Drosophila melanogaster: one gene and its partner. Each later gene encodes a partner of the first gene's protein in a complex. Each region holds a gene or a part of one and is shown on either strand. Other genes may lie near its edges. The genes, in order: snf and U2A. A codon is read from its position in the direction of its gene.

Region 1 (4,125 bases):
TCGGCGCGCTTGCGACGCGCCTCCTCCTCCGTCCTGGCCGCCTGTTGGTCCCTGGCCATCAGTTGCTGCGCCTTTGACATCGTCTAACTCCAAACAGGAAAACGAAATACGGCAAATCTTTAGTTAACACTAGCAAAAAGGAAAAAAAAAAAAAAAACAAAACAAAACACGGACCGAAACGAGCGCTGAGAATTTCGAGAGTTTCAAATGTGCGTCGATTGACTTGGTTACCAATTTGTTTTCAGAAATATAAATACGGTAGCGTGCACTGGAACAGCTTTTGCACAACCTACCAGGATCCTATGTACTACTAATTAACTACTCAATTTTCGCTCGCTTTCAATCACATCTTTAATAGATCATCCTCAATCATCTTAAGCATAGTCTTAACAACTCATGTTGGGTGGCGAAAAGGTTTTGCCAAGCGAGAAAAATTCATATCAATTAGAATGGAGTGGAGCTTTTGGAGTGGATGCAATGCATCCTTAAGCCTTTCAATAGAACTTATTGTGCATGTCTGCGGTGAACAACGTAACGCGATCACAAACATCAATGTTATAATGGAAAGTGTGTGTTAACTGAGTGAGTGTGTGTGGGTGTGTGTGTGTGTGTGTGTGTGTGTGTGTGTGCTAGAACTGCAGCCGCTTCTTCTGGGCCAATCCATTGCCCCTCACCGTAGTCTCGACCAGCTTGCGCTTGAGCGCAGGCTTCGTGTCGCCGGTCTGCGGATTGGCGCCCTCCTTGGCGGCCAGAATGGCCGACGGCATTGGCAACTTGGGACCCACTGTGGGCGCCGGTTTGTTAGCGAAATACGGCATGCTCAGTGCCTCGCGGCAGGACACACGCCGCAGCGGATTCATGGCAAACAGGCGTTGCATCAGATGGATCAAGTCATTGCCCGCGGCGGTGAATATATTGTCCAATGGTGTGCCCGGAAAGTTGCGAAACTGCAGATAGTCGTGCAGTTTGCTCAAATGCGGCCATTCAGCTTCCGTGGGTGTTCCCAGTGTGGAAAAGATCCGTGTCAGCTGATCCAGATCCGAATCGCCCGGCATGAACGGCACTCGCAGCATAAGTTCAGCCAAAATGCAGCCAACTGCCCACATATCCACACCGGTGCCATATTGTCGGGCGCCAAAGAGCAATTCGGGCGAACGATACCAGCGTGTGACCACGTGGTGCGTGTAAATGCGATTGGGCGAACCGAAGGACTTGGCCAAACCGAAATCGCCAATCTTTAGGATGCCATCGCTGTTGACCAGCAAATTGTTGGGCTTCAAATCGCGGTGCAGTATCCAATTGAGATGCAAATACTCCAGACCCTTTAGCGTCATGATGGCATAGGCCTTGATGTTCGCCTGCGTTAATATAATCTTGTTATCCTTGATGATCACCTCCAGATCCGTGTCCATGAAGTCGAAAACCAGCGAGACATTCGAAAGTTGACCGAAAACGTCCACCAAGCCAATGATATTCTCGTGCTGCAGCTCCTGCAATATCTTGATCTCACGCAGCGCTGTCCTGTTGATACCGTCGCGTGCATCCTCGCGCGATCCCTTCTTGATCTTCTTTACGGCCACAATTTGGTTGGTCACCGTGTCGCGCGCCTTGTAAACTGTGGCAAACTGCGGTGCGAAAGTGGAATGCGCACATTGTTATGGATCGTTGGGTTGATATTCCGTGGCGGCGGACTCACCTGACCCTCGCCGAGGAAGGATAGCTTGGCATAGCGTTCCGTTTTGTCATTCGCATTGGGCAGCATCGTTTAGGAGCCTCATAAATAGCACGAAAATGACTGAAATGCTGCGAGGCCGAATCAAAACAATTCAAGTTCGCAAACGCTATCGATGGCCGATAACCGATGGACGCCGGTAGGGCCTATCGCGCGCCCCAAAAAAAATACTAGATTTCAGAGTCTATTAAGAATAATGCAAAAACAGCGTATTGCTCCTTTATTGCTAATCAATTTTATAGTTTAACAAGTTATGCAAATAATACACAACTGTCAATTTAAATTAGCTGCATGTGATTGTCATTTAATTTTAGCTACTTTTAGCTATGTGCAGTTTAACAACACTGCCAAACACCGGTGCGATAACATATCGATAGACCGCCCCAAACGATGCCTTCTGCTATCGATGACAGACTCGTTTTTTTTCTCAACAATACAGAGCAAATTGGTTGATTTTTGTCGAATTAAGTGAATAAAACGCACGACAGGATGGAGATGCTACCCAACCAAACGATTTACATCAACAATCTGAACGAGAAGATCAAGAAGGAGGAGCTAAAGAAGTCGCTCTATGCGATTTTCTCGCAATTCGGCCAAATTCTGGACATTGTGGCCCTAAAAACGCTCAAAATGCGCGGCCAGGCATTTGTGATCTTCAAGGAGATCGGCAGCGCTTCGAATGCCCTGCGCACCATGCAGGGCTTCCCGTTCTACGACAAGCCCATGCAGATCGCCTACTCCAAATCCGATTCGGATATTGTGGCCAAGATAAAGGGTACCTTCAAGGAGCGCCCCAAGAAGGTCAAGCCACCAAAACCAGCGCCGGGTACCGATGAGAAGAAGTGAGTATCCCAATTGCTAATTGGGCCCGTTTAGATTCAATCATTTGTTGCCAACGGCCATGGTGCTACCATTTGTTGCTCCCTGTTGCCTCGCAAAAACCCAATGTTTTCATTCGCACGCCTGAAATCCTTTTTGCTACTAAAAACATTTCCGCATTAACCAATGTTAGTTTTTGGCCAGAATTATGGACTTGAAAACCAAGAGGTGTCTCAAGTCTTCATAATATCTTTAGTTATCAACTCCTTTTTGCTCTTTAATCGATGCGATTTGAGTTTCAGTTGCAAAATGTTTCATTTTTGTTCATTTTTGCGCGACAAAAATCCGTAGTAATCCTAGTTTTCTGGGATGTGCGAATGACTAGGCAAAAAAAAAATGCAACTTCATGTGACACTAAGACAACTCCTTTTTTTTTCGTTTCGCACAGGGACAAGAAGAAGAAGCCGAGCAGCGCCGAGAACTCGAACCCGAACGCACAGACCGAGCAGCCGCCGAACCAGATCCTCTTCCTCACCAATCTGCCCGAGGAGACCAACGAGATGATGCTGTCCATGCTGTTCAATCAGTTCCCCGGCTTCAAGGAGGTGCGTCTTGTGCCGAATCGTCACGACATCGCCTTTGTGGAGTTCACCACCGAGTTGCAGAGCAATGCCGCCAAGGAGGCGCTGCAGGGCTTCAAGATTACGCCGACGCACGCCATGAAGATAACGTTCGCCAAGAAGTGAACGCAACTCCAGTCGCCGGGCGTTCCAGCAACTCCAATAATAATTTAAACTATAGAATAAATCGATATAAACAAACAAACTACGAGTATTCCATATGCCCATATCCCTCCCATATCCCATTTCGCCCAAAGATCCTTAAAGGCAAAAGTATAGAATAGAATAGTTGATTGTTTATTGTGTAGATCTATTTGTTTGTCTGCAAACTTATAACTAACAGCTAGTAATGCGTATTATTTATGTCGGTCGATTGTACATATTTCCATTTAGTGTATAGTATATGGTGTATAGTAGTATATATATATATATATATAGCGTCCCTTTGCTCAGTCTGCATGGTGTATCAAGCTCGCTGCAAAATCAACATCAGTTTGGTGTGCGGGAGCGTGTGTTGAGTAAGTCCCACAAGTCCTCGGATTCCCAAAATGTTTGCTATATGTAGAATCGTTCAGCGACGTAGTCCTCCTCCGCCGTAACAACATCATCAGGCTTACAATTGTAATGCAATCATCATACTTTAGGCACCACAAATGATGAGTATTATGAGTGTGCATAATAAATCTGGGATAAGTGTGTGTATTATATATATATATATATATATATACATCGATAAGTGTGTGTGTGTGTGTGTGTGTGTGTCTATGTATATATATATATATATATCTATTGCTTTCTTCCGTTACGTCTGTTGAATGATGAGCTGCAGGAGAAGGAGCAGGGAATCGGTTATGTGACCACAATGCTTGCACTCCGGCAATCGTACTTACATACATATGTTGTCGTTATGTTCGGAGTGTAATGGTACTTTTGCCTAGTGCTCCAGAACGGCAT
Region 2 (3,022 bases), on another chromosome or scaffold:
GCATTTGCTGCATAGTGTGTATTCCTTAAGTTGTGTCGTATTAGCCAGTATGCCGCATTTTGCCTGTAATTTCATCTAGTTTGTGTTTGCCTGTTTAGCTCCTATTTAATCGAGCCGTCTAATAGAATCACTCTTCCACTTACCCACAGGAGACATTAGTTGAAGAACTGCAGCAGAGCATGGCGACCAGACGCGGTTTTAGAGACTCGACCTACACCAAGGAGGATGTCGTTGATTTATAAGTGTTCTAGTTATATGCTCAACATTCCCTCACGTCGATCCCTAGTCCTTCACCCAACCTGCCACAGTTTCACGTGATAGATAGTAGGGTTGATGATAACGTTAAGTGATGATACTGATGATAAGGAGGAAATGAGATGAAATGGTGAAGACAGAAGGATAGAGGGAAACAAGGTTGCAACTTATCGTACTGAACCATTAATTTATGTGCAATGCCGCGTGTGTGTTGTTTTCATTTGGCAATTTAGAATGAACGTGATTTATTTATTGATACAAACCCTGATACTTTTATCCAAATTAACCTTTGCATATTTTTAAAAATGTTTTGTGTACTATATTTTATATTTTTATGTATTTAAATCAGTTAAGTGCCAATTATATACAGAATTAATCTACAAATATTTTTAGCGTGTGCTCTACATCAATTTCAATGAAACTAACGAAAATAACGCAATGAATATGATACACTATACATATTATGTAATTCGATTGAGTGTATAAGAACTATTTTAATGGGCTAAACCTAAAAAAATCTAAATGAAATATAATATTTTTTATAACTGCTTCCAAATACAAACTTTATGGTTTATTATTTCCCCTTTTCTGTTTACCTCCCCTATACACATACTTATAGTATTTATAGTATTTAAGCGACAATCCGTTTTCAAATTTTGAGGCGCGTTATGCCGCCAGAAACAAATGCATTTATTTAGAAACAAGGCGGAGACCGACGATCTTATTGATTATTTTCTAAATAGTTAACAATTTAAGAAACTAGGCGAAAACGAAACCGATATAAAATTACTAAGCCATTTAACAACAGAAAACCGAAATCTATAGAAAACTAATTACCCTTATCGCAAAACGATCAACTTCAATTTTGATGATCTAGTAGTTTGCACCAACGACACAGAATATATTCAGAGCAGCGTTTAAACTTTAAACCAGTCCACCACCGACCACACACTTCGAGTTTTGAGTGTATCCCGTTCTCATTCAAAACCCCGAAACGAAATAAGAGAAACTTAACGTGTTCATTAAAGTTAAGCAATTAAAACATCATTGTAATCTATTGAAATTCAAATTAAACGGAAACGATATTGGACAGTAGTGTTATTTATTTATTTTTGAATTTCGAAAGATCAGGGGCCCTATTGGCAGCATTGGAGTAATCCCAGTATTATTACGATATTTAGAATGGTAGAAGCCCAGCAGACCGATAAAATACCAAAACATTGTTACCACTAGATCTATCGATAGCGATGCCGGCATTGCTTGCTATCGGAAAACTGTTCATCACCAACTCGCGTCGGCAGCGAATTGTTTTTCTGCATTTCGGAAAATAAGCTTCAAAAGAGTATAAAAAGACCGAGTAAAGACCAAACGTAAGCATACTATAACTGCCAAGATGGTGAAACTAACGCCGGAGCTGATAAACCAGTCGATGCAATACATAAACCCATGCCGGGAGCGCGAGCTGGATTTGCGCGGCTATAAGATTCCACAAATCGAGAACCTGGGCGCAACTCTGGACCAGTTTGATACCATCGACTTGTCCGACAACGATCTGCGCAAGCTGGACAACCTGCCGCATCTGCCGCGCCTCAAGTGCCTGCTGCTGAACAACAACCGCATCCTGCGCATCAGCGAAGGGCTGGAGGAGGCGGTGCCCAACCTGGGCTCCATCATTCTCACCGGCAACAACCTGCAGGAGCTGAGCGACTTAGAGCCCCTGGTCGGATTCACCAAGCTGGAAACCATCTGCCTGCTTATCAACCCGGTATCCACGAAGCCCAACTACCGCGAGTACATGGCCTACAAGTTCCCGCAGCTGCGGCTACTCGACTTCAGGAAGATCAAGCAGAAGGACCGCCAGGCGGCGCAGGAGTTCTTCCGCACCAAGCAGGGCAAGGACGTGCTAAAGGAGATTAGCCGGAAGTCCAAGATGAGCGCCGCAGCCGCCATAGCTGCAGAGGCGGGGAATGGCAAGGGAAGGGGATCGGAAGGCGGACGACTGGCCAATCCGCAGGACATGCAGCGCATCCGCGAGGCCATCAAGCGGGCCAGCTCTCTGGCAGAGGTGGAGCGTCTATCGCAGATCCTGCAAAGCGGCCAGCTGCCGGATAAGTTTCAGCACGAGATGGAGGCGGTGGCACAGAACGGGGCGGGGCACAACGGTTCGGGGGCCGTGGCCATGGAATACTAGGACTAGAATTATCCGCTCATCTGTCAGCTACCTTATAACCGTAGACCAATATTTTTTAATAAAACACCAAAAGTTGATTCATCGCATTCTGCATTTCGGACACTCAAAAACATATAGAATCTTCTGTTTTCAACTAAGACCGCTGGCCGAAGGATCTTTCACGGAAAGATTCGGGACAATCGGTCACAACAGAAATGCATTTACATGACCGTAATTGGCTAAAAGTTTAACAATCTACAGCGAGTACAAAGGGGACACAAAACGAGAGGAGCTGCTGGCTTATGTGGAGAGTGGAGTGGTGTGGTGTGGACCTGGCTCCTGGAATCCGGTATTGCTGGGGAGTGTTATTAAGATCCTTTCGCCGCCATTATGGCGTCGTAGTGCAGGCCAGTGTAGAAGATGATCCACGTGACCAGGAATCCGGCAAACGACGTCATGAACCCCTCCTTGATCAGCTCCCATACCCCTCCGTAGGCGTCCTCGTCCACGTTCTGAAAGTTTATGGCGTACAGGTAGACGATCCCGCAGCTGATGCCGGCGAATCTGGGGGCGCATTGGATTGATTAAGTGAAGTGA

Evidence for each region.
Region 2: the proteins of snf (region 1) and U2A are in contact, whole or in part, in a crystal structure (PDB 6F4J), measured with the Drosophila melanogaster proteins. Residues at the interface, in NP_511045.1 of Drosophila melanogaster: Ile18 (codon at 2,273), Glu22 (codon at 2,285), Lys24 (codon at 2,291), Lys25 (codon at 2,294), Ser26 (codon at 2,297), Tyr28 (codon at 2,303), Ala29 (codon at 2,306), Ile30 (codon at 2,309), Ser32 (codon at 2,315), Gln33 (codon at 2,318), Phe34 (codon at 2,321), Gly35 (codon at 2,324), Gln36 (codon at 2,327), Ile37 (codon at 2,330), Leu38 (codon at 2,333), Asp39 (codon at 2,336), Ile40 (codon at 2,339), Phe72 (codon at 2,435), Pro73 (codon at 2,438), Phe74 (codon at 2,441), Tyr75 (codon at 2,444), Asp76 (codon at 2,447); in NP_610315.1 of Drosophila melanogaster: Tyr15 (codon at 1,691), Asn17 (codon at 1,697), Pro18 (codon at 1,700), Arg20 (codon at 1,706), Glu23 (codon at 1,715), Asp25 (codon at 1,721), Arg27 (codon at 1,727), Ser50 (codon at 1,796), Leu70 (codon at 1,856), Asn72 (codon at 1,862), Asn73 (codon at 1,865), Ser92 (codon at 1,922), Ile94 (codon at 1,928), Thr96 (codon at 1,934), Leu121 (codon at 2,009), Ile122 (codon at 2,012), Leu144 (codon at 2,078), Asp146 (codon at 2,084), Phe147 (codon at 2,087), Arg148 (codon at 2,090), Lys149 (codon at 2,093), Lys151 (codon at 2,099).

Annotation. Positions count from the first base shown.
Region 1 is NC_004354.4:5,307,133-5,311,257, forward strand, and holds snf (sans fille), read left to right. Parts: upstream 1-2,109; 5' UTR 2,110-2,221; coding exon 2,222-2,574; intron 2,575-2,999; coding exon 3,000-3,297; 3' UTR 3,298-3,369; downstream 3,370-4,125. Other genes in the region: CG17764 (uncharacterized protein), read right to left, coding at 1-80; Cdk7 (Cyclin-dependent kinase 7), read right to left, coding at 630-1,625, 1,697-1,762; TrxT (thioredoxin T), read right to left, coding at 4,106-4,125. UniProt on the Drosophila melanogaster protein: Binds stem loop II of U1 snRNA. It is the first snRNP to interact with pre-mRNA. This interaction is required for the subsequent binding of U2 snRNP and the U4/U6/U5 tri-snRNP. Plays a role in regulating sex-lethal splicing.
Region 2 is NT_033778.4:7,674,862-7,677,883, reverse strand, and holds U2A (U2A), read left to right. Parts: upstream 1-1,521; 5' UTR 1,522-1,648; coding exon 1,649-2,446; 3' UTR 2,447-2,522; downstream 2,523-3,022. Other genes in the region: LRR (Leucine-rich repeat), read left to right, coding at 150-242; CG12107 (uncharacterized protein), read right to left, coding at 2,794-2,989. UniProt on the Drosophila melanogaster protein: Involved in pre-mRNA splicing as component of the spliceosome. Associated with sn-RNP U2, where it contributes to the binding of stem loop IV of U2 snRNA.